Linked DNA regions of Sus scrofa. The protein of the gene in region 2 interacts with the protein of the main gene of each other region in a pairwise test. Links are inferred from orthologs where the notes say so. Each region holds a gene or a part of one and is shown on either strand. Other genes may lie near its edges. The genes, in order: THEG, FHL3 and KIRREL2.

Region 1 (9,953 bases), on a different chromosome or scaffold from region 2:
GGGTTAAGGATCCAGCGTTGCCATGAGCTGTGTGTGGGTCGCAGACACAGATCGGATCTGGTGTTGCTGTGGCTGTGGTGTAGGCTGGCAGCTACAGCTCCGATTAGATCCCTAGCCTGGGAACCTCCATATGCTGCGGGAGCAGCCCTAGGAAAGGCAAAAAGACAAAAAAAAAAAAAAAAAACAACCACAGACTCTTATCCAGTGGAGGAGTGACAGGCCAGGAACCACGAATTTGAACAGTATTGAAGACTGCTCCAGGCCCTGCACAGAGCGACGCAAGCCCTGGACTGAGGGCTCAGGTTGGGTGGAAGAATGGAAAGCCCATCCAGAGGCCTGCATGGGGCAGCGGGGGAGCAAGAAGGGGTGTTGGAGTCTGGGGTGGGGCTTTGCCAGGCTGAGTGGGAACAGGAGGGCGGGCACCTGTCCTCACAGAGGAACCAGTGTCTGGGGTGGGGGCACCGCACGTGCAAAGGCCTGGGGGCTACACTTAGTCCAGCAGAGGGGGCACTAGGGGAGGAGGGGTGGAGAGGGCCCAATCCTGCTGGCCTTTCTGGGGTACTGGGGAGTCACAGAGGGTGCTGGAGCACAGAAGGGCTAAACTGACAACTGAACCAGCAAGGGCAAGGCAGGGGCTGGGAAGCAGCAGGTGTATCTCCAGGTAAGAGGTGGGATAGGTCGAAGGGCCCATGCCCTGCTTTGGATCCTGATCCAACCAGATGAACACGAAGCCTTTTTTGAGAGAAATGGGAAAAGGAGCATGGGCTGGGTACTCAGACACTATGGCATCATTGTTCAATCCTTCTATGTGACCATTGCTTTTATGGTTTTCAAACTATCCTCGTCTGTTAGGAATCCATACTGAAGAGTCTGAGAGAAAAGTGGTGTGATGTCTGGATTTATTCTTTGTTGTTGTTGTTGTTGGCTTTTTAGCATATGGAAGTTCCCGGGGCCAGGGGTCAATTCACAGCTGCAACTGCCAGCCTATGCCACAGCCATAGCAACGCCAGATCTGAGTTGCATATGTGACCTACATCGCAGCTCACAGCAATGCCCTTAACCCACTGAATGAGGCCGGAAATCAAACCCACATCCTCATGGACACTATGTCAGGTTCTTAACCCGCTGAGCCACAAGGGGTTATTCTTTTTTTTTTTTTTTTTAAGGGGGTTATTCTTAAGAGTGTTACAGTGTGTGTGGGGTGGGGGGGTCTGTCAAACAACCACACAGAAACACCAGTTGACACAGTACTCAAACCACAGTGCCAACCCCCATACATCCGTCAGAATGGCCAGACTTTTTTTTTTTTTTAACTTTTTAGGGCCATACCCATGACATATGGAAGTTCCCAGGCTAGGAGTCCAATCAGAGCTACAGCTGCCAGCCTACACCACAGCCACAGCAACATTAGATCCGAGCCATGTCTGTGACCTACACCACAGCTCACGTTAACGCCAGATCCTTAACCCACTGAGCGAGGTCAGGGATCAAACCTGCAACCTCATGGTTGCTAGTCAGATTCCTTTCCACTGCGCCATGACGGGAACTCCAGAATGGCCAGACATAAAGGAATGGAAAAAGCAGCAAAGGGACAGATGGTGCCAGAGGAAGCAGCCACTGTGGAAACAGGTGGTCATTTTCTGATAAAGTCAGACCAGCCCCCTGCCCAGGCCCCCACCTCTGGTGATTACCCTGGAGTTTATGGAACTGTGTTCCCACGATTCTCAGATGCTAATGGCAGCCACGCTTGCAGGAACCAAAACCCAGAAATGACCACGTGTCCTTCGGTAGGTACATGATGCCCACTCTAGGGTCCCTCCCAGGAGAGCAAAACTCTGTGCTACTAATGGGGGGGAGGGCGTGTGTGCAGGGCACAGGTGTGAGGGGCCGCAGGCTTTGGGGCAGAGTGAGGCCTGAGCTGGGGAGGAGGGTAGCCCTCAGTCAGAGGGAGGTATGGGCTGGATTCAGAAGGGACTGACCTCTGTGATCTCTGAGGCGGGGTTGTCATGCCCACGTTGGAGGTGGGAGCTGAGGCCCTGGCCTCCGCTCTGAGCTGGCAGGCAGGGGGCTGGTCCTCAAGCTGCCTTCGAGGCAGAGGGGAGGGAGAAAACCCTTTTCTCAGGCCAATTCCAATGAAGCCTGGTGGTCCAGGAAGGTAGTTAGCATCTGCTGCCCTGGAGAGGGTTCCCTCTTGTGCTCCTGGGCCCTCAGAGCCCCTGGATGGTAGATGGGAGCCCTGGTGGGGGCTCTAGGGAAAGAGGCACCCACCTCGGACATGTTTATACTCCAGATGTTATTCCGGGTCTTAGGGGTGGCCAGCTCCCGCAGGCGACGGGATGGTCGGTATGCCAGGGTGGAGCGTGGGATGGGCCAGGCTGCGGTGGTCCTAAGGGAGAGCCAGGTGGGAGATACTCAGCCAAGGGGCCGTCTGTGCTGCGGTGTGTGCATAACACCTCTCTGATTCTGTGGGTCAGGGAGGGCCCGGCCTGGTGAAAGGTTGGGAAAGTACCTCCAACAGGGATTCTTCAAAGGCCCCCCTCCCCCTTCGCATCCTCAAGGATGGAGCTACCCCTGCTGGGGCAAGTATGAGCCCTGCCATTGATAAATAACTGGGGAAGAGCTTCCACTGGGCTGGCCTCTGAAGACCAGGCCTCAGCTATGCCTCTGCTCCAGAAACAGCTGCAGTTCATGGCTCCGATACTGGAATGCAGCAGATGAGCCGCTGTCAGAGCCTGGGGTGGTCCCTGGACTAAGATGTTCACACAGCGGTTATGCCAGCCCAGGCCTACACTCTGCACTAAGTCTAGTTGCAGCGGGTTAGATTGCCTGCAGACTGCATTAAGGCGAGATGCTGCTGTCACAAAGCTGGGGCAAAAAATGGTGGTGGGCTCTCGGCACAGTGGGCAGGAGTGTCTTCCCCTCTCTGTGCTCATGAGAAGCCAGAGTCTGAGAAGTCCAGGAGTCCCTCCCCGCTGGCGAGAAGTGACACCACGCATTGGCCTGCAGCCCCTGAAGCCAGAAGGTTCTGTCTGGGGAGCTGAGCACAGCCCTCCCCCGTTACCCCACACGGGAAGGGGTTCCAGCTTCCCAGGCAGTCGCCCCTACCTGTTGTTGTTATAATACTCCGAGTAGAACCTTTTAGGTCGGGCCAGCTCCTCCACCCGGCGGGACACCTCTGCGCAAAACAGGGAACACTCCCCTTGAAACTGACCCCCTGAGGACTTCCTCCCGAACCCAGCTTTGTACCAGGTGACACCCCCACCTGGGGCTCCAGGGCACGCGGGCTGGGAGGTATGCAGTCAGGATGGGCCTGGGTTTCCAGCACCTCTGTGCTCCCTGAGAACAAAACTCTGAGAACCTGCCCTGAGCACCTCTCCAGAAATGAGCTTTCTCAAAACGTTCTATTTAAAGGGATCCGCTGCCCCAGGAAGGGACGGGATCTTTCACTAAGGCTGCCCCCGCTCTGGCTGAAGGGCACTGTGGTCCCCTGAAGAGTCTGTCCCCCCACCCCTCCCCAGACCATCCTCCAGCTGGGGCGGGGACAGACTCCAGAGAGGAGACCCTGGAAGATGGATGGGGGGCAGGGTCCCTCAGGGAGGCCCAGCGGTCTCCCAGTCAGAGCCAGACACAGGTCAGGGTGAGATGCAGTGACCCGGCCACAGGCACCAGGCCAGGTGCCCCTGGGGAAAGGAGGCAGTGAGTGGGTCAACCTACCCGGCACCGTGATGGTGAGTGTGGTGTCCTCCAGAAACCTCTCCGTCCAGTACACGGATGGCCTAGAACACACCCAGCAGGGCTCAGGGTGAGGAAAGCCAGGGCCTCGGTGGCCCGCGTCCCACTCAGAAGCAGAACTCAGGGCGCCCCATAAACACAGACAGAAGATGGGACTGCAAGTGGGAGCATTGCAGCTGGAGAGGGGGGGCAGCTTCCAGATGGGAAGAAAGAAGAGAGCAAGTGGGGGGCAGGGGGCAGGTGAGGGAGGACACAGGAAAGCCTCAGAATCATGGGGGGGTGTAGATATTTTGAGCAAGGCTGGTGTTCAAAGGAGGGAGCTGGAAAAAAAAGAGGCATAACTGAGAAGGGGGCCTGAGGCCACAACCCAAGGACTGGAGTCCAGAGCTCCAGGTGGTGCAGGGGATCCTTGGGTGGGATCCTAGGGTGAGGTACCCCAGCGGAGAGCCCTTCCCCCAACATTGTCCCAGGCAGGAGAGGGCAGGGTGGCTGGAATAAAGGGCCCCCACATGGTCAGGAGCAGGGGGCACCTGGGACTTACCAGTAGACACAGAACTGCAGGTTCCTCATGCCGGGGGCGATCCAGGCATAGCCCCTGCAGCAGCACCCTGTCCTGCACGAGACAGGCCCACCCGCCTTTGCGCTGGGCTCCACTGGCTCAAGGCCTCGCTGTCCTTCACTAGCACCCAGGGCCACCATGGTCACAGTCTCCCCTCCCTCAGCACCTGCCCCAAGCTGGTCATGGGGAGGCAGGGGAGGGCTGGGCAGAGGGGCCACCAGAAGCTGCTTCCCCCACCCCAGCCAGACCTCACCTGTCTTTCAAGACTTGCCAGTTGGTCTTGGGCTTGGCCAGCTCGAACAGCCGCCTCCTCTTCCTCCTCTCCCTGCCTACGGAGGTGCTGGGGAGCCTCTGGGAGATGGACAGACGGCTGTGGAGAGCAGGCCAGTCAGGGCAGGTCAGATCGCTCACTCCCCCAGCCCCTTAGACCTATGCACGTGCTCTCAGCGCCCCCACCCCAGGATCTCACCCTCCCCTCCCAGGAGGCCTGCCTGGAGGAGACTTCTAATATCACAAAGACTAGACTGACATCCCAGCTCTGAAGATGGCCACCCCAGTTCTCTCCTCTGTGAAAGGGAGCAGAGACCCGCTCCTGCCCCACCAGACAAGGAGATGCTTCCCGAATGCAGGTCAGACCCAAGAGGGGACGAGCACAGAGAGTACCCCAGGAAGCCACAGCTGCTGCTCCCTGCACAGCACACGCCCAGCCCCGCCAGCCACATCCCCCAATGTGTGCCCCTCACACAGGCTCTGTGGGGGCCACGGCATTCTGCAGGGAGAACGAGGCCCCTGTGCAGCACAGGAGGGACGCCTGCTGACCCAGCAGCAGGGGCCAGGAGTCCAGGCGAAGGGTCCACCCATGCCCCCCACACACTAACAAGGCACTCGGTCCCCAGGTGGGGGGAGCACCTGCCTCTTTCCAAGACACACAGGCTCTCAGCTCACCCAGAACACATCCTCCTGCCACCTAAAGCCTTCCTGCCAATTTGTGGTCCTCAAGATGGTTTTGGCTTTGGGCTTGGGAGCTTTCACCCATTTCTTCTTCTCTCTGTCTGACCGAGGGCCGCCCCTGTGACTTCTCAACTCTGCCATCTGAACTCTCCAGAACTGAAGCTTTGGTGGAGTTTTTCCACCCAAATTCACCTGCCACCTGGACAGGGGCTGTGTGTTGACTTACTCCTGGGGGCAGTGAGGTGCTGACACCCTCAAGCCTAGAATGAAGTCACAGGCCCTGGGGGCACCCACCCCAGGGGCCACCCCCACTGCCCCAGGCTGGTGGCCACCCTCCTACGCACCTCATCTCAGGCACACCCTCCTCCACATCCTTCTCCAGAACCTTCTCCAACTCTGGGAGGGCCTCTTCTGGGTTCTTGGTACCCAGGAATTCTTCCCCAGTCACCTCTTCCGGGGGGATCTCCTCCTCCTGGCCTTCCAGCCCCAGCTGCCCATCATCTGGGTCCTGGTACTTGGTGTCCCTGGACCCTCGGCTCTCATACACAGGGCTTGGAAGGCCCGGGGCGCTGTCCTTCTGCCCCCTCTCTGGCCGGCCCTCAGCCTCCGACGTGCGGTGGTCATAGAGTGAGCTCTGCCACTGGTCCCCCATGTGCTGGGTCCTTCCCAACCCTGCAGCCTTGCTCCCCAACACCCAAATGAGTCGTGGTCGCCCAGCAACAGGAGAATGGCCCACCCACATTCTCCTGCCCACATTCCACGCCCACATCCACAGGTGCCCACCACCAGGCAGCCCCCAGCCACCAGGCCCTTGGGAGGCCGCCCACTCCTCCAACCTCAGCCCCACCTGGCCCCCTCCTGCCACCTTGCCTTCCTGCTCCATAAACCTGGACCCCTTACCAAACAAGGCACAGTGAGGCCAAACAATAATGAAACACTGGAGTCAGGAACAGAGAAAGATTTACTGCAGGGCCATGCAAGGAGACCGGTGGCTCATACCTTAAGCCCCAGCTCCCCAAAGGCTTTCAGCAAAGCTCCTTAAATTCATTTTTTAATTAAAGCATACTTGATTTACAATGTTGTGCCAATTTCTGCTGTACAGCAAAGTGACCCAGCATATATATCATACATATATATACCTTCCCTTTCTTTTTTTTTTCTATTTTTTTCTTTCATTTTTTAATTTTGTCTTTTTATGGCCACATCTTCAGCATATGGAAGTTCCTGGGCTAGGGGTCAAATCAGAGTTGCAGCTGCTGGCCAACACCACAGTTCATGGCAACACCGGATCCTTAACCCACTGAGTGAGGTCAGGGATCGAACCCACATCCTCATGGATATTAGTTGGGTTCTTAACCTGCTGAGCCACAATGGGAACTCCATATACCTTCCCCTTCTCATATTATTTTTCATCATGGTCTATACCAAGAGGCTGGATATATTCCCCTGCCCTGTACAGTAGGACCTCATTGCTTACCATTCTAAGATCTACTATTACATTTAGTAGATACCTAAATGCATCTACTAACCCCAAATTCCCCATCTATCCCCCCCCTTGGCAACCACAAGTCTGTTCTCTATGACTGTGAGTCTCTGTTTTGTAGATAAATTCATTTGTCAACAAATCCCTTTAAAAGACCGCATGAAGGAGGGGTGTGATTGCTTGTTGCCAACTTCTTGGTGTGGGATCCTTTTTTCTTGTACTGTCCACAGAGGTCAGGTCACGATGTACCTGTATATTTCAGGCTCTAGGTGGCAAAAAGGTGTAGAGCCAGTATGACTAAGCACAGGCAACAAACCACAAAGGTTAAGGTAAGGTTAAAGTAAAAGGAACAGATCTAACACAGAGTCAGATTTGTTCTTCCCTGTTACTTATCCACCTCAGGGCCTTTGCACCTGCTGGTCCCTCTTCCCACACATGCCCTGGGGGATCCTCCTCAGGAAGGCAGCCCATTTTCAGGTCTCTCTGTATCCTGGCTCCTCATTTGACTTCTGCAAGGCATTTAGCATGGCCTAAAATTACACTGCTCACTTATTTATTTCTTCTTCAGTGTCTACCTCTGCACTGTAGAAAATTGCCTTCTCAGATCAGGGGCTGCAGAAGGCTCTTGGGGAAGGGCTGCTGAGTGAACAATTACTCAGTGCTGGAGCACACCCAGCTCCACCCTACATTTATTCTCATCTGTGCTCAAATGAGGAGTTAGTGCTGGCGGTGACAGTTAACCAGGAGTCCCACCCCCTCCCCAAGATTGGCTGAGGAATGGACCTGAGATGGAGTCCCCAGGGGTTTCTAGGGATGGTCCTCTCTCTTGAAAGGAGACAGGAAGAAGAGATCCTATCTCTTCTTCTTGGTTATTTCTGGAACTGTGTGTGATGTCCAGAGCTCGAGCAGCCATCTTGCGACCATGAAACCTGCTAGCCTGAGGCCGATGAGTCAAAAGATGGGTCTTTGGTGGCATGGTTGAACCTCTGAACTTGGCAACCCTGGAGCCTTCTGTGTGTCTGGGCTTCTTGTAACCTGACACATTCAGTTCTCTTAGGACTAAGTTGTAGCTCAGCTTCCTGTTCCTTGCAGCCAAAAGCACCCCAACTGATATGTTCTCTTCCAGCCCCAATATTTCATGAGCAATAACTCTAGCAACACCTGGTATTTGAAACAGGCTGTCCCAGAAGAAGATCAAAGAAGGTGATTGTTATGAAAGTTGTAGCATCCTCATGGCCCAACATCCAGATTTTGGGAAACCCTCTCAGGGCATCATAGGACCTGCATCGTCCACCCTCTCTGTGTACAGAGCAGAAACTTTTGGGGCCTTCTCAGGGCAGGGTCTTTCTCTATATCCTCTACTTTAGCACCTCTCTAAAGTATAATATGTATCTTGGAGGCTTACAGAAGCATCATGACCCGACCTCTGCGGACAACTGCAAGAACAAAGGATTCCTTGCCAAGTGTGCATCAGCCAACCACATGCCTCCCTCACCTTGCCTTTAAAAGCACTTTGCAATTTTGAGGAGTTCAGGATATTTTGGGAGTACGAACTACCCATCTCCTTGCATGGCCCTGCAGTAAATCTTTCTCTGCTCCAAACTCTGACATTTTGCTTTGTTTGGCCTCACTGTGGCACAGAGGCTTGCACTAACAATTTAAGACCCCAGCCTGCCATTCTCTTGTGTGGGAAGTGTCTCTGACCACCCCCTCAAGTTCTGCTCTGGGCCCCCAACACACAGGTAGGCCCAAGACCCTCTCCCTGGACATGAGTATGGCCCAGCTCAGGCTGGCCATCCAGAGACCCAAGTGGATGGGGCAAGCTCACTGTTTGCGGTTTGCAAATCCGTTTCCAAATCCTGTCTCTCTAATGCTTTGCTCCTGGCTGTGGCCTTGTCATCACCTCTGTGAGGATCCTAGAAGTTCTTCGAGAGTGTCCAGTTCCATCTGGGAGACCCTTGGAAAATCTCATTATTGGTCTCAAGTGTCCTAAACCCTCACCTTGCATAAAATGACTCACAAAAAAAGAAATTCCACGTTGCTGCAACTAGAAAGACCAATCGTCACCACAATGTTCTGTAAGAAATCCTTACTCAAAAGTGAGGCCACTTAGCTTTGAGACAGGTCACCAAATCTAAGACAGCCCAGGACCTGGGACCCTTGGCTGCAGTGCTTGCACCAGGACAAACATCTCCTCAAGGAACAAAATACAAAGAAAATAGGTGGGACTAAAAACAACGGTGTGCATGCGCAGTTGGGGCAAATTATGGACAAGATACAAAAAGACCAAAAATCCAATTGCCACTTCTCAGGAGCCAAGAGTAAAAGCAGGTACTATTCATGCCCCCTGCACACACCGCCACCAAAAGGATGGGCAGACCACCTAAGCCACCCCTCTGTCCTGCCCCCTGGACCCACACTTACCCTCACCCCATAAAAGGAACCAGATCACCAACCCCTAGGAGAGTGAGCTAGGGAAACTGTTGCTTGTTTTCCCTCCCTCCTGCTGAAGCACCAATAAAGCTTTGCCTGAATTTATTGCCTGGCCTCTTATCAAATTTTATTTATTTAGGAAGACTGCAGCAAGCCCCCGTACCAACTTCAGCCACAAGGGGGCAGATGTCAGAAGCAAGAGAGGCTACAACCCTATTGTCTGCAAAAAGGAGACCATACCAAAAATCTATACAAAATGAAAAGGCAGAGAATTAAGACTCAGATAAGGGAACTAGAGAAAACCTCAGAAAAACAGCTAAATGATCTGGAGATTACCAACCTCCATGAAAAAGACCTTACACTGATGATAGAAAAGATGATTCAAGATCCTGGAAATAAGCTGGGGGCAAAGACTGATAAATTATAAGAAACGAAAAAATAAATAGAAGATTTAAGTATTAAGCAAGCAGAGATGCAAAATACAATGACTGATATAAAAATTCACTAGAAGCAACCAGGAGCAGAATACAGGAAGCAGAAGAACAAATAAGCAAGGTGGAAGACAGACTAGTGGAAATCACTGGTTCGAAACAGAAAAGAGAAAAAAGATTGAAAAGAAATAAAGGAGTTCCCATTGTGGTGCAGCGGAAACGAATCTGACTAGGAACCATGAGGTTGCAAGGTTTGATCCCTGGCCTTGCTCAGTGGGTTAAGGATCCAGTGTTGCTGTGAGCTGTGGTGTAGGTTGCAGACATGGCTCGGATCTGGTGTTGCTGTAACTCCAGTGTAGGCTGG
Region 2 (9,953 bases):
GGGAACTCTGCACCTGTGTCTCTTGACAGGGCTCAACCCTGCAGCTGAAGAACTCTGGGGAAATCCTTTTCTCAGTCCCCAGAGGTGCAAATCCAGTAAACCAGTGGGCATGTAAAAGCTGAAAGTCGGTGAGATCTGCTGTGGAAGAAGTTTTTCCTGCTTCTCAATCTGAGCCTTGCCCAACTAGGACCAAACACAGTAACAAAATTGCATCTCATTTGTTACTTAACCATTAAAAGACAAGAACCTTCATGATCTGGCCCACGCCCACCTTTCCAACCTCATCTCTTTTAAGAAGCCCAGGAGTTCTCCTATGCTGCAGCAGGTTAAGGATCCGGCATTCTCATTGCAGCAGCTCGTGTTGCTACTGTGGTGTGGGTTCAGTCCTGGCCTGGGAACTTACATATGTCACAGGTGTGGCCCCAAAAAATAAATTAATTAATAGGAAGCCCAGCCATCAGACAGAGTGCCCAGATGGCAGCCCCAGTAGCTCCTGCCACTTCCCCTGATGAAGGCATGCAGTGGTGAGCACACCCAGGAGAAGGCAGCTGTGCCCTGGAAGGGAAAGGAGGGGGTCCTCCAGTCAGCCACAGATTTGAATTGCACATCCACCGCCTATCAGCTTGTGATTTAGGGCCACACTGTCAAACCTTCTGAGCCCCATATCCTACTCTGTAAAATAGCAATAATATAATAAGCATTTCTTACGGCTTTTGTGAGAACTGAGGGAAGGAATGACTGTTACTTAGCATTGTACCATGCATGTAGCTGGCATTTAACCATAGGTGGAGTTCCTGTCGTGGCGCAGTGATTAATGAATCCGACTAGGAACCGTGAGGTTGCAGGTTCGATCCCTGGTCTTGCTCAGTGGGTTAAGGATCCGGCATTGCCATGAGCTGTGGTGTAGGTCGCAGACGCGGCTCGGAACCTGCATTGCTGTGGCTCTGGCGTAGGCCGGTGCCTACAGCTCCGATTAGACCTCTAGCCTGGGAACCTCCATATGCCGTGGGAGTGGCCCAAGAAAATGGCAAAAAGATGAAAAAAACCCAAAACCATAGGTTATTTTCCCTCTACCATTCCTCCCCACACTCTGTAGAAGTCACTCACTTAACATCTGCACCCACAGACCCAATGCCAGGCTTGGGCTCACAAGGAAAGTGCTTCTGGGCAATCTGAAAGAGGGTGTCTGCTTAGCCAGGAGGACTGCAGGGGCTGTATTCAGCCCAGTGGATAAGAGTGAGCAATACACCCAGAGAAAGAAGGAAGTTTTCTCACTGGGGGGAGGGGGAGGACTTGTGGTTACAAGCATCAGGAGTGATTCAGCACCCAGAGGAAACCACGAGAGGCCTGCCAGCCTTCAGTCACCCAGGGCCTCCTTTTGAAAACACTGCCAAAGTGAAAGAAGAGCTGGGAGACCCCAAGCAAGCCCCCTTCCACCACAAGATAAGGAACAGGAATGGTAGATGGAGACCTCCAGGGTGGGTGAAGGGACAACCAGATCCTACTCATCCAAAGCCAGTTGGCCAGCACTCAGGCTCTGCTTCCAGCCCCAGCTCAGACACACCTGTTCCCTGGAGCAGGGAGGAGGACTGATGGGGAACAGGAACAGGGAGTCCATGAGGCTGATCCCTAGATGTCCCTGGGGCACGTCCACCTGGGCCAACGGAAATAGAGCAAGCAGGGAAATGTGAGCCCATTAGGGAGCTGGAAATGGGGAGGGGAAAGGATCCAGCCCCTGCCATTCGCCAGTCTCTCTCTCAGTCTGGGCTGACTCAGAAATCTCCTAACCTTCCCGGGGCCCCAAGACTCCAAGTCCAAGAAGCGAAACCTCAAAACCTCAACACTTGACCAGGAAAGAGAGTATTTAGTGGTGGTGATGGAGGGCATCCTACATACAGAATAGCCTCTCTGTGCTTTCATCTGATCCTCATAAAAATGCTGTGTGCCAGGGAGTCCACCCCCTTTTTTTGCTTTTTCTTTTTTTTTGCTTTTTTGCTTTTTAGGGCCGCACTCGAGGCATATGGAGGTTCCCAGGCTAGGGGGAGCTGCAACTGCTGGCCTACGCCACAGCCACAGCAATGCAGGATCTGAGCCCTGTCTGCAACCTACACCACAGCTCACGGCAATGCGGCAATGCCGGATCCTTAACCTACTGAGCAAGGCCAGGTATTGAACCCGCATTCTAATGGATCCTAGTAGGGTTCGTTAACCACTGAGCCACGAAGGGAACTCCCGGGAGTCCACCACTCTTAGCAGATGAGAGACTGAGGCTTTAAGAGGTTAACTGACTACAGAGGCTCTAGAGCCTAAAGATGAAGCACTTTTTTTAGCATAAGGAGCCTTGACATTTGATTGTCTGGATTTGAATCCAGGCTTTGCTATTATTAGCTGTATCACCCTTGGCAGCTACTTACTTTCTCTGTGTCTCCATGTTCTCATCCTCAAAATAAGGATAAAAATACATATTTCACAAAGTTGATGGATAATCAAGTGCATTAATATATGCAAAGTACTTAGAGTCTGGTGCAAAGTAAAAACTCAGGGAATATTGGCTCTTTGTGAGTAAAACCAGAGACCAGCCCCTCCAACTCTGCCTTTGGTCCAGCACCTTCCTTATTCAGTCATAACCCCTTCCTTTCTGAAGGCTGTTGACCTTTGCCCTCCCCTCAGCCCAGAGCAAACCCCTTCTTTTTTATTTTTTTGCTTTTTAAGGCCGCATTCACAACATATGGAAGTTCCCAGGCTGGGAGTCAAATCAAAGCTACAGCTGCCAGCCTACACAGCCACCACAGCCACTGCAACAAGGGATCCCCGACTCACTGAGGGAGGCCAGGAATCAAACCCACATCCTCATGGATACTAGTCGGATTTGTTTCCACTGTGCCACAACTGGGAACTCCCAGTAAACCCTTTCTTGCCCTCATCCAACCAGGCAGTCTTCCCTGCACTCCCCAGGGCTGGGAGTCTCCTACACCTGCAAGATAAGTTCCAGAGCAAGGGTCAACACAGGCACTGGCTGCTTCCTCCCCGGACTCCAGAAGCATATGCCTGCAGTCCAATCCGGGCACCTAAGGGTCCAATGACATGGAAGCAGTGTTTGTCACTCATTCATTCATCAGATATTTATTAAGTGCCAGAATCAGAAGGACCTGGTCCCTGCCCTCATGGCCCTTACAGTTTAGGCATGAGGAACAATGATAATTAACAAGCAGTTAGTTAATTTTGAAAGGAAACCTGGCCTCCAGGGTGTCTTGGGGCCCTCAGGCAGGCATGGGATTCAGAGGTTGGAGAGGAGGGTACTCAGGAGCCCCAGCCTGGGAAGGAATGAGTCTCTGCCCAGGGAGCTTGTTTGGACCCAGCCTGGGGGATGGGAGAGCCTCTCTGGGCACCTGAACCTCTACTCTAGACCCTGAGGTTATTTCCAGGGTTGGTTTGTTGTCTCTTGTTTTGCAAACAGCCCAGCAGAGCCTCCTCCTCCCTCCCCAACCCTTCCAGACCATGGCTATTTATTCCTAGTGACAAGCCTGAGGATCCCAGGGGGGTTGGCCTCAAGGACCTGGAGGGGCCTTGTGTCCCTGGCAGGCGCCAGTCCTCCCTCCCCGCAGGGCAGGACCCAGGGAGGAAGCCAGAAGGTTAGAAACTGCAGAGGTCGGGGAGAAGAACTTCTCTCCACCACCCCTGCAGCGCCCTGTCCATGCACACTCCTCACACTCCTTCCTGAGAAGCTCAAAAACCACGGGGGGGGGGGGGAAGGATTAGGGTATCCCCTGGGCCTCAAAGGTCAAAACTATTCCTGGACACAGTGAAAACCAAGGGAGGATTTCTCTGTTCCACCATGCAGCAGGAGGTGAGGAGGTGGTTACTCGTTTTCACGCTCAGGGTGGGAGAATAAAGCCCTTTGAAGGTCAAGGCCCTCTGGAGGGGGTCCTTGCTTCACTCCTGGTTTCCGCGGAACACCTAGGTTCCCACTTACAGAGCTGTGACAGCAGGGCCAAGCCCCCAGCCCCACCCCCAGGCTGGAATGAGTCCTCTAGTACACCTTCGGGCAGTGTGATCCCTGGGGGTAAACTGGGAGGGGGCGAGGACACGAAGAGGGCATGAGGTCCCCAAATGGACCTTGGTCGGCTGCCTCCTGTATCCTTTGCCCGAGATTGAACACAGCTAACCGCTGGGGGTGGGGGGGGGCCGGGAGAGGGGGCGAGCAAGGAGGGAGGACAGCAAAAGCTGCAGGGAGGGGACAGGGGCGGGGTCCTGGCCGCTCGGGAAGGTTGCGAGAGCCAGGTTAGGCCTGGAAGGCCGAGGGGGCTGGGGCTGGCTCCGATCTAAAAGGGAGGTGGGGGCGGGGTCTGCCCCCCTCCCCAGCCCCTAGCCACGGGGACCTGGGGCCGGGGGCGGGGTCCGCACCCCGCGGGCAGGGGCGGCCGGGGGCGGGGTCCGGGCGGGGCGGGCCCCAGCGCTCACTTCCTCGAGGAGGGGTTGGGGCCGCGCTCCCACTCGCCCACACAGTCCGTGTGCAGCCGGCAGCCTAGCCGGTAGCTCGCTCGGCCCCGCTCGGCCTGGCCCGCAGGTAGGAGCCGCCGAGGGACGCGGCCCCGGCTGCCCGGCCCTCCCTGCTCGAGCGCCGCGCCTCGCTCCCGCCGCCCGCTTCGAGGTGAGCTCCGCGCCGAGCCCCGCTCCCCATCCCGGCTCCCGGCCCTCGCCCTCGGGCGGGAAGGTAGAGGCGACCCACCGGGGGTTCAGAGCAGCCATGGCCCCCGCCTCTTGCCCTTTGCCTCCGCCGGGGTCCGGCCGCGGGCGCCAGGGACGCTCTGGGAGCCGGTGGCGCGGGGGCGCCGAGCCCTGAGGGGCGCCACGGGGACCGCACCGCCCCGGGCCTCCTGGCGGGGCGGGCGCTGCTACGCGAGTTGGGCGGGGGAAGGGGGCCAAGTTTGAAATGGAAAACCAGCGTCGAGAGCTACCGGGAGGGTTCGAGAAACCGGCTTCCAAAAAGCCTGGTGGAGCCAGAAACCGAGACAGCATAAGGAGTGACAAGCTTGGAGAGGAGGCTGCAGAGATTCCCGAAACAGGGACAGAGACTTGGGCGTAGAGTCACCGGGAGGCAGACCCGAGGCGTAGGGACCCCTCCGAGGTTTTGTGGAGCGGAGCATTTTAAGGAAAAGCATGTAATGACCCCAGAGGTGTTGTCGGCCTTTCCCAGAGCCTTGGAAGGTTCTGGGCAAGTGAGGGGCTCCAAAGCTTAAGCTTCATTAGCCTCGTGGTAAAGCAGCCTTGGAGAGGCCTAGAAAGATCCAGAGTCTAGAGTCGGAGACACTCAGGCATAGAGATGCTAAGAGATAGAGAAGGACGGTGGGGGAGGACCAAGACATTCCACCTTTTAGAGACATTGAGATGCCAAGGCTTGGGTGGACGGAGGGAGAAATCCACCGAGGCTGTCGTTGGGAGATGGCCAGTAGAGATACAGAGACATGGAAACATAAAGACAGCTGCCAAAGTGTGCAGACACAGACGTGCTGAGTGGAGCAGAGCTAGACATCAAGAGACAGATGTCATGGAGGCACAGTGACAGCTTCCAAGACAGACCCACGGGACTCAGGCCCAAAAGACTGGGAAGTGAGGATGTGGGGAGACAGAAACTCTAGACCAGTCAATCCCCCATGAGGATCTGAGACAGTAAGACACAGCAAGAAGGAGCCCCATGCAGTCCCCCAATCAGCTCCAACTTATTTTTAAACTCAAATCTTGGGCGCACTGCTTCAGTCCAGGGGGACCCGGGGTGAATGAACTGTTCCTTTCTGTCCCCAGAGCAGCTGCTGGATCCTGCTTCCCACCCCGCCTTCCCCCAAACCGCTCTGACTCCCAGCCCTCATGGGGGGAGGGGAGAGAGCCCGGAGAGTTTGGGGTTGATGCCTAGTTGGGGGGGGAGGGAAGAGTTTGGTTTCTCCCCTCAAGTCTCTTGTGAGCTCCTGTAAGCTGGGGGAGGGTCTGTGCTGATTCTGAGTCACAGCTGTGGGACCTGGCCAGGGTCCTCCTAGACATTGTGGGGGGGAAGGGCAAAGGGGGTTGAGCGGTTGGCATGGGTACTTGGAAAGGCTTCTGGGTGTCTTCCAGTCACAGGGCTGGCAACTGGGGAGAAGAGCCAGGCTCCTGTCCCAGTGATATCACCTAGCATCTCCTGTCCCCCTGCTCTTAAATGCTGACCACCCCCTCAGCCACTGCAACATTTCTAGGGAAAGAGAAACGGACTTCAGGCTGAGAGGCAGGGGACCTAGGATCTCATACCAGAGTGACTTTGGGCATGTCTCTGCCCTGTCCCTGGCCGCCGTGCTCAGCTGTAAAACGGGGATGATGTCCTATCCCGCCTGCCGTTTGGGAGATCTGATTGGTGGTGGGTGGGCGGCATTGCACTTTGTGAGAAGCCAAACAGCACGCTAGTGTCTACTCTTCTGTACCTGTGTTGGAGATTTCAGAGTTACGCTCACTGGTGTCAGACCTGCCCCCACTGGTCTTAGTGAGCACCACGCCTGGGTCTCTTTAACGGAGAACTAAGGCTTTCCCTCCTTGTTCTCTCCCTGAGCCCACCACTGAGAATGTCAAGGTCAAGTCCCAGGCTAGCCCCCTAACCCAGGCCTGGTTGAGAAGCTGTGGTCTGATCCCAGTACGAGGAAGGGGCTAATAATCAAAACACCAAGACGACTCAGTAGCTACCAGGAGCTTTCCAAGTATCATCACATTTAACCCTGACAGCAACACTAGGAGGTGGGAAGTGGTATTAGATGGGAAAACGGGCTCAGGGAGCTTAAGTGACTTGCTCAAGATCACCCAGCTTTCTGTTTCACAGTTCAAGCTTCTCCATGCCAACCACAGCCATTTATCCAGCCGTTCTGAGGTGCAGGAGGTTCATGGGGAGGTGTCAGATGTATGTGTTTGGGCCAGGTATGGGGATGTGTGTGTTGGGGGGGGTGGGCAGCACCTGAGAGCCATCTGGTAGACCGAACAGTCTTCCCACACCCCCCTACCAGCCAAGAAGGAATACAAGACTTTGGAACCCTAGCCCTGCCAGGAAAGGGGGGCGGGGGGGAGGGGCAGAGACAGGTGGGCCTTGCTACTGTCCTTCACTCTGTCCTCACCAGAGCCCAGCTGGACGGACTAGGGGAGGAGGGATTCTGGGAAAGAAACAGAAGCCACGCCCACACCCTGTTTGGGGGGCCCCTGACTCAGAGTGGTGACTGCCTCCCAGAGGGCGGACCTAGGGCTAGCCTCGGCCTGGGAAGGTGACAGGGCTGCTGGGGACCAAGCCAGGAAGGAAGGAAAGGCCAGGGCACTCCCGGACATGGCCACACACTCCACCTGTATGGCCCCCTGCTGCCCAGTGGCTGACAGCCCAGGCCACCCTCAGATGTTGAGCCAGAGGAAACCCCGGCCTGAACTGCTGGAACCAACTGAGGAGGCGTACCCTCTACCCTACAGCTGGCCCCCAGCCTGCTCTGAAGACCCCAGTTCCTGGCGGCCTCATGCCTTGGCCTGGGGTATGAACTGAGTGTCATGGAAGAAGGGCAGCTGTGAGCTCACGACCCATACCTTCCGAAGAGCGAGGCCCTGCAGGCTCGGGGTGTCTGCTGGCGCCTGGAGTCTGAACTCCAAGCCAGAGCAACGCTTGTTGGCTAGAATTTTCTGCTGGGGATGGCTGAGAAAAGGAGGGCTTTTCCTTCAACCTGAGCCAGGCCAGGCTCTAGGGAGTGCCAGTTACTGGGGTCTAATCCGGGGGAGTGAGTTGGTGGGTTCCTTTGAACAGGCTGGGTTCATCACCCCGGGCTTGGGCTCATCGGCAGCTGTGAGAACATCCCCCCCCCCCCCCCCGCCGCTTTGGTCCTGGTGGTTCCTGTCCACACACCCCGGGATCCTAGACCTCAGAGAATGGCTTTCACATTGGAGGAGGTGGGGGTGGGGAGCTCGGAATGGAGGGCTAGGAACTGGGGCAGAAGGGACTGGGAACCCCACTTCCCTAACACTCTGTACTCCCCAAGCTCCTGCGGCAGAGGCAGCTGTGCGGATGACCTCATCCCACAAACATGCTTTGTTCCTGAGAAAATGGAAAGTGTCTGAGGTTTGGTGGGGGGCTGGGTGTCTGCAGCAACAGCTCTCAGGGCCCCCCTTGCCTGACTCCCTACCTCTGAGGGGGCCCGATTGGAGAGATGTCTTCAGTGGCTCCCACTCTCTCATGCTTCACTCCCCCAGCCGCAAACTCTTTGCGAAGCCGGGGAGAAGCTGTCTCTCCCAGAGGCAGGGGGAGGGAAATAATGACCCAGGGGATGGAAAGATTCTGGGGCTTTGCCAGTTGCTGCCAGGAGTGACGCCCGGGCAGAAGATGGCAGGAGGCACACCCCATAATCTCCAGTTCCCCTCTCCCTCCCCGAGCATCTCATTTCCCTTTTTTCTTCCCTGTTGCTGGCAAAACCTGACATCTGGCCATCTGTGTTGCCACAGCTGCTGCAGATGTTGCAGGCCAAGGCTGCCCAGGCTGGTGTGATCAGAGACCCAGCAGGAGTTGGAGGGGGGTGAGGGCAGAGGGTCCAGCTGGGGAAGCTTGGCTGTGTCCAGCTTGCAGGATTTCCTTCCTGCATTACCTTGGCCGAGCCTCTGAAGCCCTTGTTGCTGGCTTCTCCTGGGAGGGGTGGCCCAATGCGACTTCTCCCATCAGCCTCCTCCACCTCCACCATTCATTGGCCCAGCATCCTTCTTACATTCCACTGTTTCCTGGATCAGGAGGCGGGTGCAAACAGCCCATTCTCATCCCTAAGCTCCGCACTGCAGAGCTCTGGGTATAACCCTAGAGTTCCCTCCTGGGAGTCAGGAGAGCGTGACCCAGTGCTGTTCATATGGGATAGGGTGGGGTGGCTCCCTGCCCCCTACTCTTGCCCCCCTTGGGGACAGTAGGCACAGTGGAAGCTAAACAGGCTGAATACAGGGACAGGAAATGAGTCACTGACCCAGGAAAAGCCCCCTCCCCCCAGATCTGCCAGGGCCCAGATAAGAAAAGAACTTCTGCTTCCTGATTTTTTTACTGACCCCCTCTCACCCCTAATGCTAAATACAGAAATAAACTTGCAGGACCCCAGAACACCCATTACCCATCGCCACCTTCATTTCCTATGCCTCGTCTCTTGCTCCTTTTTTAGTGCAATGGGCTTCGCCCCAGCCCCTCTGGATGACTCGGTCCCACTTTGTGTCCCTCCTAGGGCTCCATCACAGCCACCATGAGCGAGACCTTTGACTGTGCAAAATGCAGCGAGTCCCTGTACGGGCGCAAATACATTCAGACGGACAACGGCCCCTACTGTGTGCCCTGCTATGACAACACCTTTGCCAACACGTGCGCTGAGTGCCAGCAGCTTATCGGGCATGACTCAAGGGTAAGGACTGGACCACGCAGGGCAGGGAGCAGGTGGAGGTGGGCCGGAGGGGACAAAGGTGCCAGTCTCCGTGCCGGGCTCCCCACAGGAGCTGTTTTACGAGGATCGCCACTTCCACGAGGGCTGTTTCCGCTGCTGCCGCTGCCAGCGCTCCCTCGCCGACGAGCCCTTCACCTGCCAGGATAGCGAGCTGCTCTGTAACGACTGCTACTGCAGCGCCTTCTCCTCTCAGTGCTCCGCCTGCGGAGAGACCGTCATGCCTGGTACGTTCCTGGGGGCTCGTGGTGCATGGGACTGGCAGGCCCATCCGATACATACTTGGAGGCTTGGTAAAGCCCTTCACATGCAGCACGTTCCTGAAAATCTATTGTGTCCATAGGCTCTCGGGAGCTTGGCACTCACGGGAACTGACACGCTTGATACACATCCGGGGTCTTAGCATGTATGAAGACTTGCATGTTGGCACATATAGGAGCTTCGAGTTTGCTGAGACTGTCTTGCTTGGTGCCTTGGAGCTTGGCATGGGCAAAGACAGATAGATAC
Region 3 (9,953 bases), about 49 Mb from region 2:
CCACAAGTAGCCCTGGGGTGGGAGGGCATGTTGGGAGGAATAATTGGACCAGGGGCATGTTTGGACTTCACGGACACTTGGATCCAGGGGTCGCCATTGGGATTAGGGCTCTGTTTAAGTTGGGGAGGTGATAGGGCTAGGGTCATGATTGGGACTGGGTTACTGTTTGGGTCTTGGGGTATAGTCAGGTCTGGGGACCCTGGCATCCTACCTGGTCCTCACCGCTGCCTGTCTCCTCCTCAGGGCCCCTGGAACTGGAGCCGTCACTGCTGCCTTGGATTCTCACCAGGTTCTTTTGCTTGGAGAAAGAGGCTGAGGCCAGGGACATTGGGGGTGGGAGCAGAGGTAAGCAAGGGGGCTGAGTCATGGTTTGTGGGACCCATGAGCAGGAAGAGAGAGGACTGGGGCAAATCAGGTTGGGAGGCTGGGAACCAATGAGAACCCTGGCTTAGGAGGGCAAGTGGTGTGACCCTGAGGACATGGAGGTAGAGCTGGAGTGGGGCAGCAGGTCCTGAATGTAAGCCAAGCCCAGGGAGGGTCTAGAGAGGCAGGACTAGGACCAGGTCCCAGTGGGTAGGGCCTGTGTGTGGACCTGGGGTGGGGGTCAGGCACTGACCCTTGTTATGGTGCCAGCAACAGAGGGCCACCCCAGTGATGACCATAAGAAGAGTCATGGCAACAGCAGCTGCTCCCGCCACGATCCGCACAGTAGGCAGCAAGTCTGCAGGAAGTAGAGGGGGTTGTCCTAAGGAGGCTGAGCAGAAGACTGAGCAGGAACAGGGGAACAGGACTCAAGGCTTAGGTAGGGGATCTCTGGGTTCACAGGTCACCAATTCGGGGACTCCCAAGTTTTGTAGTCCTCTAGCTTGGAGTCCCTAGGTTTAGGGGCTCAGGAACTTGGGTTTTACAAGTTTAAACTCCTTGGCTTAGAGCTTGAGGGTACTGTTACTTTACAATTCTCTGTATTTGAAGGTTGCTTTTTTTTGGAGCCTCTAAGTGTGAGGGGCCTCTCAGTTTAGAATTCCGTACTTGAGGGAAATGATTGTTTGGGGGTGGGGTAGGTCTCAGGATGCAAGTCGACTCAGTTTTAAGGCTCTTAAGGTTTAGGGGTCTCTGCATTTGAAGGTCCTCTGTTTGGAGATTGTGGCATTTGGGGGCTCTGAAGTCAGATTTGGGCTCTTCGGGTCCAGGGTCTCACCTCTACGTCCCAGGGTGACCAGGGTGCCCCCCTCGCCCAACCGGTTCCGGGCACTGCAGTTGAAGCCCCGGCTAAAGTCGGACTCCTGGGTCCCCGAAATGTGTAGCACAGAGATCAGGCCTGGACCCTGTCCCCCGCGGCCCTCTGGGGCTGGAAATGTCTCCACCAGGAACCGACCCCGCGACCCCGCCGTCAGGAAGCCCTCATCCCAAGACCAGACCTGGGGGCACAAAAGAGAAAGGCCACAGAAGAAACCATGGAGTGGGGGAAGGGGCGGCAAGGTGTCGGTAGAGTCAGTGTTGGTAATACAGCAGTTTTGGGAGTCCGGCTGGAGGTCCGGGATCACCGCTGGATGGGGATTTCCTTACCACGGCTTCTGGGGCGGGGGAGGCGAAGACAAGACACTGGAGACGGGCGGGACCCCTCAGGAAGGCGGGCGCAGAGTGCAGGGCAGTCACTACTGGGGGAGCTGGTTTGGAGACAGTGGGCCAATCAGAGAAGAGGCCCCGCCCCCAGCTCCTCCTCAAGAAGGCGGGGTCATGACTGGGCACACCCACCAACCCCAACCGACTAGGCGACGCCTCTCAACAAACTGTGAACCCCACCGAGGCTTGTCTCAGCTAGGTCCCGCGGCAGTTCCCAGGTCCCGCAGTCTGTTAAGCTCCCTCACAAGGAGCCCACTTTTATCCCAAGACCTGTGGGGTCCACTAGGAAGCGCCGCTTTCTCACCGTTCACAGTTAACCTAGCTTCCGCAGCGCCGCCCCCCAGGCCCGAGAGCCCAGGCTCAGCCCTGCACACGTAGTCGCCTGCATCCTCGAGTCCCACAGCTGGAAGACGCAGAGTGGGCCCGGAGGCCATCACCTGGGATAGGAAGTGGTGTCAAGGGCAGGACCTTGAAAAGAAGCCCCGGCCACTGCCAGCCACGGCTGTAAGCCCCAGATCCTGCCTCACCTGTGCTTCCCCGCGGCGGGTCCAGGTTACCCGTGGGAGTGGATTCCCGCGCCAGACACAGCTGAAGGAGGCATCTTCCCCCACGTCTACGGACAAGGGTTTTGGCTTTGACTGCAGAATCGGCCCGACTGGAGAATAGGGAGAAAGGAGAGAGAGAGACAGAGAGAGAGACAGAGAGAGAGACAGAGAGAGAGAGAGAGAATCACATGACCAGGGAGGACTGCAACTTCTGACTCGGGATCAGCCCCTCAGGGACAACACCCACAAGGGCCCATTGAGTTAAAGCCCCCAGTCCACAACTCCGCTCACAGTCTCCAGCCCCCCCTTGCCCCGCCCCTGCTCCACTTTGGCCCAGATCCAGCACAGACTTATCCCGCCTAAATCCTACCCCTGCCCCACCTCCTCCCCTCAACCCGTAGCAGCCAAGCCCCGCAGTAGCCCCCTGGCCCATTTTGCTCGCCCCACATTTGGCCACACCCATGGCCTCGCCGCCGCTCTTACACTGCACATCCAGAGCTGTGCTGCGGTTGGCGCTACCCACTGCATTGCTGACTTCGCAGGACACCGGCTCAGTCAGGAATGAAGCATCCGCTACTACCTCCAACATTGGCCCGCGGGCCCCGAGCACCGGGGAGCCCCCCTTTGCCCACCTGCGAAGGCGGTGGGCTGTTAGTGTCCTTGCTGCTCAGGCACACCTACTCACATCCTAGCCCCAGCCCTCCCCAAGCCCTTCCAGGTGGGGAGAGATGATCTTCGTCCTCACCTATAGCCGGTGACAGGAGGCTGGGCTGTGGCCTGACATAGGAAAGTGACCTTTTCTCCCTCCTGCACTCTCTGTGGTTCTGCAGACAGAGTCACCACTGGGGGGTCTGTGGAGGTGTGTCAATGGTCAGTGGCTGATGACCTAGGAGTCCAGTTTGCAGCCTCTCCACCCTAGGAGTCCGAGACCCTAGTCTCCTCTTCCCTTTCAGCAAGGATTTAGGCTGAAATGTCCCAAATCCCCTTGGGCCCACGGCCCCCCTCTTTCCCTGAAGTCCAGGCCCTGGCCCCCTGCTTTCTCCAAGGACCTCAGGCTCCAAACCTAGTGTTCAACTGCACTCACACTGCAGGCTCAGTGTGATAGCCGTGTCCTTTCCCACAGGGAGGGCCTGGCTCCGGGCCCGGCAAACCAAGGTTGCTCCATCATCATGGCTGGAAGGCGTCAAGGATAAGATGCTCTCCACTGACCCAGTAGACCCAGTGGTTCCTTCCTTCAACAGGGTCTGTCGTTTATGAATAATAATAATAATAATGACTTCATCTACACTTACTGTAATTCTTACTCTATGTCAGGCACTCTTCTAGGCATTTATAAATATTATGGTATTTAATCTTCACAACTACCCTAGAGGTGCACACGACTACTAAGCCCATTGTGCCGATAAATAAACTGAGGGACAGCGAGTCTAAGATCCATCAACTAGCAAGCAGCTGAGCCAGGATTTGAACCCAGGTAGTCTGGCCCTAGAGTCCTTATCCTTAATGGCATACCAAGGATCCTAAGCCTTGAATCCCTGTCCTCCCATGCCCTTTTCTCCTCTGGATGAGCCTGTGATGTGTGGGTCCCCAAATTTCCCTGCATGAGCAAGGGCTGGCACAGAGACTTAGACCTGACCTGATGGAAGGTAGCCCCATCCAGCTGGACCCCATCTCGGAACCACAGCAGCTCAGGAGTGGGGTGGGCATCCCCACGACTCCGGCAGGTCAGATTTGCAGGAATCCCAGCAACCAGAGACACAGAGGGGCCGCCCAGCACCTGGGGGGCTTCTGGGGGCACTGTAGGGGTGGATCTGGGGTCAGAGCTGGATCCTGGGCCCATAGATCCTGATTTCCCAGCTCTAACCCACCACTCCTCCATTCTCTCTGGACTCCGATACTCCCAGCTAATGCAGGCAGTCCTCCTGGGCTCCCTGGGGACATGTGGGCTGGATCCTCACCCAGCACGTGCAATTGGGCTGGTCGAGAGCGGAGACCTGCTTGTGTAGCCTGACATTCATACGATGCTTGATCCTCCAGCTCCACAGGCCTAATGTGGAGGTCGTGCTGGCCACCAGCTGCATTCCCAGATATCCAGTACCGGGACCACCCTAGAGTCAGGGAAAAGGCAGTCACAGCAATGGTTCTGAGTTCCTGGCCCCAGATCTCCATCCCCAGACATCCCACCCCAGAAGAACACTACCAAAAGTGGACACTGGGCCAGAGAAACACTAACCCTCTCCCAACCCAGAGTCATTGCAAACTTGGGGGTGATAAATTCAGGGAGAAAAAGCACAAGAAAACACTTGCCATAAAAGTCAGACTATAGGAGTTCCCGTCGCGGCTCAGTGGTTAACGAATCCGACTAGGAACCATGAGGTTTCGGGTTCGATCCCTGGCCTTGCTCAGTGGGTTAAGGATCTGGCGTTGCTGTGAGCTGTGGTGTAGGTTGCAGATGCGGCTCGGATCCCACGTTGCTGTGGCTCTGGCGTAGGCTGGTGGCTACAGCTCCGATTAGACCCCTAGCCTGGGAACCTCCATATGCTGCGGGAGCAGCCCAAGAAATGGCAAAAAGACAAAAAAAAAAAAAAAAAAAAAAAGAAAAAAGAAAGAAAAAAGTCAGACTATATGCTACCTCTTGGGTGAGGAGGGAGGGCATAGGATAAGGGAGGGGAATAAGGAGAGTTTCTGGGGAGCTGGCCATGGACCTGTAGTGGTTACACGAGTGTCTATTTTAGAATTATTTGGCAAAACTTCATATATGCTTTATGTGCTTTTCTGCATGTATTTCATGTTTTACAATAAAAATAAAAAGTCCAAACCCTAGGGGTCACCTCCAAAGAAGAAGCTGAAAATTCAGGACTCCCAAATGTTTGCCTGAGCCCAGTAGTTTCCCAGACTCGAAAACGTTAAAATTGAAACTTCAGCGATAGCCCAAATCCAGGCCGCCCTGAATAGAGAGAAAGCCTCACCTGGCAGGTCCCTTTCACCGCCTAGAGCCAGTCCATCCTTAGTCCACTGAACCAGCCCCCAGTAGGCGCCCAGGGCACAGGGCAGCCGAGCCTCGTCCCCCAGCAGTACTACCAGGTCCTCGGGCTGTTGCAGGAAGTGGGGTAACAGGCCTAGGAGAGTGGGGCGGGGGAGCAGAGCAGAGCTTAGCACATTCAAGAACTCCCTCATTTAGGACCCAGGAGTCCAGACCCCAAACCCCTCTTCCCTCAGACCCAGAAGCCCAGGCTCCCAGAGTTCTCCTCCTTCAGACCCAGGAGTCCAGACCCTCAGCCCCAGCCACCCCTGTAAAGCGACAGCTGGCAAACAACCCCTCACGGTACCTGCACGCCCTCTGAGGAAGAGGAAGAAGAGGACAAGGAGTGTGGGGACCAGCATCCTGAGTGTGAGCCCCAAGGTCTAGCAGACTCGCTGTTGCACCGGCTTCCCTGCAGCTCCGGCTTCCCTGAGAGCTCCTTCGTCAATAGCACACCCCCCACCCCTCTGGAGCCCCCTTCAAGCCCGACTCGTCGCCTCAGGCTAGAAGCCCCCCAGTATCTCTCCTGGAGTTCTCCTCGTCTGCTCCGCCTCGGGCTCCCCGGCTCTGAAACGCTGGCGGGTTCGGCGCGCTGGGTCTGGGAGAGAAAGGGGAGGTCGGATGCCACTCGCCCCGCCCTGGCCCGCCCCCTGGGAGACCCGCCCTCTTCCCATTGAGAAACTCCCGCGGCCCAGACGCGGATGAATGGGAGCATGCAGGGCGGGGGCGGGCCCCCCCCAGCGGGCGGACACCCCAGCCCCCTTTCGGTCCGGGCGCTGGAACACCTGGGTCGAAGGAAGGGGTACCGGCTGGGTTGGACACCTACAACCTGCCAGGGTTGGGGGTTTGGGGGGGTTGCGGAGGAGAATGGGGAGGGAGTGGAAGAAACTTGCTCAGCCTGGGTCCTGGAGGGACAGCGCTGAGTGGAAACCGAGCTATAAATGGGAACCCCTGGGAACTTGCTAGTTTCCGCGCCCTGGGGAGGCGGGGCCCCGGGCTCCTTTGGGCTTGTGGGTCAGGAAGAGGGCACCGAGTTTGCCTGGGAGGCAGCGGGGACCCCAAGAAGAGGGGAGTTCAGCTCTCCCCACCCCAAACCCCTTCTCAAAATCTGCCTCTGCCTGCCGCGTTACCGCTGCAAACCACAGCACGTCCTGAGATCCAGGAATCCAGCCCCCGCAACTCCCCCTTTCCCAGGACCCCGCAGTCCAGGACCACCCCCTCGCCCCCACTCGGCCGTGGTTGCCGGGTGACGGCTGGGAGGCGGCGGTGCCCGGGCTGGGGCAGGCGGGGAGGCTGGGAACCGCGCAGCTTGTCCTGACGGCTGCAAGCCGCCCAGCTGGGGCGTTCCCACGCTGTCGCCCGTGCGCTGCGCAGCTGGCCGGACAGGTGGGTGGGACCCTGAGCCGACAGAGGGGGGTCCTGGGGGTCTGGGACCCTGGGTCTGACATCCTTGAGCCTGTAGGATCTGGGGATCCACATTCAGGAGCTCAGATTCTTGTATTCCTAAAGAGCAGGGGCATGGACGCCCAGGATTCTAAGACTAGGGGCTCAGATCTCGGATGACTGAGAAGCTAACGGCATGAACGCTGTGTTTCTGAGGAGCAGTTGGGGGCTCAACTAGGTGCCCTGCCTGCAGCAGAGTGCAGTTGGGAAAGGATGACCGGGGTCAGAAAATCTGGTCTTAAGTCTTAGAGTCAGTGGATTTAACCACCAATCTCTCTCCCACCCCCACACAGGCCCAGGAGGATTTGAAAATCAACAGACAGTGAACATCTGCCCTAAGTCCTGTGTGTGTTTGGGGGCGGGAGATGGAGAATTGAAGGTCTGAACTCCCCCATCCTTGGGAAGAAGTGGCTGTGGGCCTGGACTCCTGCATCTGAGACGGTGGGTCTGGGGGTCCAGACTCCTTGAACTCCTGGCTTCTGTTTGGGGGAACCAGCACCTGAATTTTTTTTTTTTTTTTTTTTTTTTTTGTCTTTTTATGGCAGCACCCAGGGCATACGGAGGTTCCCAGGCTAGGGGTCGAATCAGAGCCACAGCAACGCCAGATTCGAGCCACGTCTGCAACCTACACCACCACTCACGGCAACACTGAATCCTTAACCCACTGAATGGGGCCAGAGATGGAACCTGCGTCCTCATGGATACTAGTCAGATTCATTTCCGCTGAGCCACAACGGGAACTCCAGCCCCTGAATTTTGAAATAAGATGAGCTTGGGGCCAGGCCTCCCGAGTCTTGGGGTGGAAGTCAGGTAGTAAGGCTGTTTTTCCAGACACCTGACATCGTTTCCACTTCCTGTCTCTCTGGGGCCACGGGCGTGGAAAGATGGAGAGGCTGAGGTCCCAGGAGCATCCAGAGAAGGAAAACATCCAAGGTGGGGGTGGGGTGAGGTGGAAGGTTTGTTCTAATTAAAGGTCCCAGCAATGGACAGCTCTACGCCGTGGCCCCGAGGGACACCATCTGGTGATGGTCCTATGACAGAGCCTCCAGCTCTGCCTCCAGTCCATTCCCCAGGAGGTGTGGGGGCAGTTGGCAGAGAGAATGTGGGAGGAGGCAGGGAGTCAATGATGGGAAGGAAGAAGAAAGACTAGATGGAACATCAAGGATGGAGCTGTGGCGGCTCAGACCAGATGCCTCATCTTGTTCCTGGAGGAGGACCAGATTTGGGGGGGGATCATGGCGGGGGGAGAAAACGAGCAGTTCCAATTCCTGCAGGAGATAAGCAGGCGGAAGAAGCTTATCCCATGTGGGTGTGTATGCGCATACTGGGGTGGAAAGGGCAGGCCAACCAGCATATGGTTATAAAATTTGAAGATGTGACAATCCGGGGGACTCAGATGGAGAAACAAATAAAGTAAAGAGACACAGGAGTTCCCATGGTGGCACAGTGGAAAAGAATCTGGCTAGCATCCATAAGGATGCAGGTTCAATTCCCTGACTTGCTGAGTGGGTTAAGGATCCGGTGATGCCGTGAGCTGTAGTGCGGTTCACAAATGCAGCTCTGATTCAACCCTTAGCCTGGAAACCACCATATATATGTCTTGGGTGTGGCACTAAAATGGCAAAAAAAAAAAAAAAAAAAAAGGAGAGAGAGAGAGAGACACAAAGTTTGGCTGAAACCAAATCTTTTTTAAATTATTTTTTTGTCCCCACCAGCAGAAGTTCTCAGGCCAGGGATGGAACCTGAGCCACAGCAGTGACAATGCCGAATACTTAACCTTAACTGCTGGGCCACCAGGGAACTCCACAAATGTTGACTGAGCATTGTGTGTGAGAGACTCTGAGGTGAGATGAGAATAGAGACAGAAAGAGAAAAACAGGAGTTCCCATCCTGGTTCAGGGGTTAATGAATCGACTAGGAACCATGAGGATGTGGGTTCGATCCCTGGCCTCGCTCAGTGGGTTAAGGATCCAGCATTGCTGTGAGCTGTGGTGTAGGTCACAGATGCAGCTCGGATCTGGTGTTGCTGTAGCTGTAGTGTAGGCCAGTGGCAAGAGCTCTGATTCGACCCCTAGCCTGGGAACCTCCATATGCCACAGGTGTGGCCCTAGAAAAGGCAAAAAGACAAAAAGAAAGAAAGAAAGAAAGAGAAAAACAGACGTGTTCAGCACAGTGATGGAGTAACCACCTAGTAGAGAGAAGGGGAGAAGGACACTGAGACAGAGAGCGAAAGTCTCAAAGCAATGGAGAAAGATAGGAACATAACTTGAGTTGGACAGAGGGAGGGAGAGAGACAGAGTCCCCCAGAAAGAAAGAAGAGACAGGGAGAGACAGAGGGAAGCTATGTGAACTAGAACTTTTTAGCTCTTGCCAGAAGGTTCCCACGCATGGCTCATTGCTGGTGGCCTCAGACCCTGCCTTTCACTCCCACCCACTCTGACTGCCCGGCACACTTACACATTAGGCACTTACACACCCACATAGTGTACATGCTTTCACAGATCACAGTTCACTCTTAACTTCCCCAGGCTCATACGCATGCTTACACACTCACATGCCCTTGACACACCTGTGTGCACCAAAATATCTGTACTCGGTTTCTCACACACACTCTTGCATGCTCCCCAGCAGAGATCCCTGACCTCCCTGAGAGGGGGCTGTATACTCAGGGCAGGAAAGGACTTGAAGGTCCTGGACCAGGGTAGGAAGAGCCAGGGAGCCTTGCTCCCATGCCCGCCTAGCTCTCTGCCCCTGACGCTGAGCTGGAACTGCCTGGGTCTGACCCGCTCCCCCTTACCCCTGGCCCAAGCCAGGCTGGCCCTTGGGGTCATGGGGGCAGAGGAGGCTCCGAAGAATGTGCCTGGCATGTGCTGACAGGGGATTTCTTGCTCCAGCTGTGCTGGGAGGCGCCTCTTGGGTTGAGGCTTGAAACTGGAGAGTGTGCCTGGGGGAGGTGGCCTTGTGAGGATGAGGTTTGAGATCTGACTGGGTTTGAGAACACGTCCCGGCTCTGCCACTGAGCACATCATCCATCTCCTGGGCTCGGGGACTGTTGGACTTTGAGCAGTGGGTCCTCCCTTTGGGGCTGTGAGCGGAGACCAGGGGTTGGGGGGCGCGAAAGAAGAAAGAGAAATAGAGACGGACATCAGAGACGGAGATGCTTAGAGGGAGAGAAAAAAAACCTTAGACCAGGAGAAAGAGAGAGAATACAGGAGGAAGAGTGGGCTTAGGGTGGGGGAGAGACAGGGAGACAGAGGGAGCTGGGGGAGACCGCTAGACTCACTGCTGGAAAGAGAAAAACAGACAAGACTTGGCCAATA

Evidence for each region.
Region 1: the proteins of FHL3 (region 2) and THEG interact in binary tests that used the Homo sapiens proteins (3 or more experiments, as listed by UniProt). The two-hybrid records come from large-scale screens. The link is inferred for Sus scrofa from reciprocal best matches to the Homo sapiens genes FHL3 and SPMAP2.
Region 3: the proteins of FHL3 (region 2) and KIRREL2 interact in binary tests that used the Homo sapiens proteins (3 or more experiments, as listed by UniProt). The two-hybrid records come from large-scale screens. The link is inferred for Sus scrofa from reciprocal best matches to the Homo sapiens genes FHL3 and KIRREL2.

What each region holds. Positions count from the first base shown.
Region 1 is NC_010444.4:77,890,484-77,900,436, reverse strand, and holds the start of THEG (testicular haploid expressed gene protein), read right to left. Parts: upstream 5,895-9,953; coding exon 5,587-5,894; intron 4,662-5,586; coding exon 4,545-4,661; intron 4,346-4,544; coding exon 4,274-4,345; intron 3,777-4,273; coding exon 3,715-3,776; intron 3,176-3,714; coding exon 3,106-3,175; intron 2,387-3,105; coding exon 2,269-2,386; intron 1-2,268. UniProt on the Homo sapiens protein: May be involved (but not essential) in spermatogenesis.
Region 2 is NC_010448.4:93,982,410-93,992,362, reverse strand, and holds the start of FHL3 (four and a half LIM domains protein 3), read left to right. Parts: upstream 1-3,794; 5' UTR 3,795-3,835; coding exon 3,836-3,847; intron 3,848-4,497; exon of another isoform or gene 4,498-4,651; intron 4,652-9,236; coding exon 9,237-9,410; intron 9,411-9,498; coding exon 9,499-9,673; intron 9,674-9,953. UniProt on the Homo sapiens protein: Recruited by SOX15 to FOXK1 promoters where it acts as a transcriptional coactivator of FOXK1.
Region 3 is NC_010448.4:45,271,551-45,281,503, reverse strand, and holds the start of KIRREL2 (kin of IRRE-like protein 2), read right to left. Parts: upstream 5,768-9,953; 5' UTR 5,553-5,767; coding exon 5,498-5,552; intron 5,288-5,497; coding exon 5,138-5,287; intron 4,277-5,137; coding exon 4,127-4,276; intron 3,966-4,126; coding exon 3,805-3,965; intron 3,413-3,804; coding exon 3,253-3,412; intron 3,020-3,252; coding exon 2,914-3,019; intron 2,801-2,913; coding exon 2,652-2,800; intron 2,279-2,651; coding exon 2,151-2,278; intron 2,061-2,150; coding exon 1,928-2,060; intron 1,668-1,927; coding exon 1,567-1,667; intron 1,419-1,566; coding exon 1,199-1,418; intron 722-1,198; coding exon 617-721; intron 313-616; coding exon 212-312; intron 1-211. UniProt on the Homo sapiens protein: May regulate basal insulin secretion.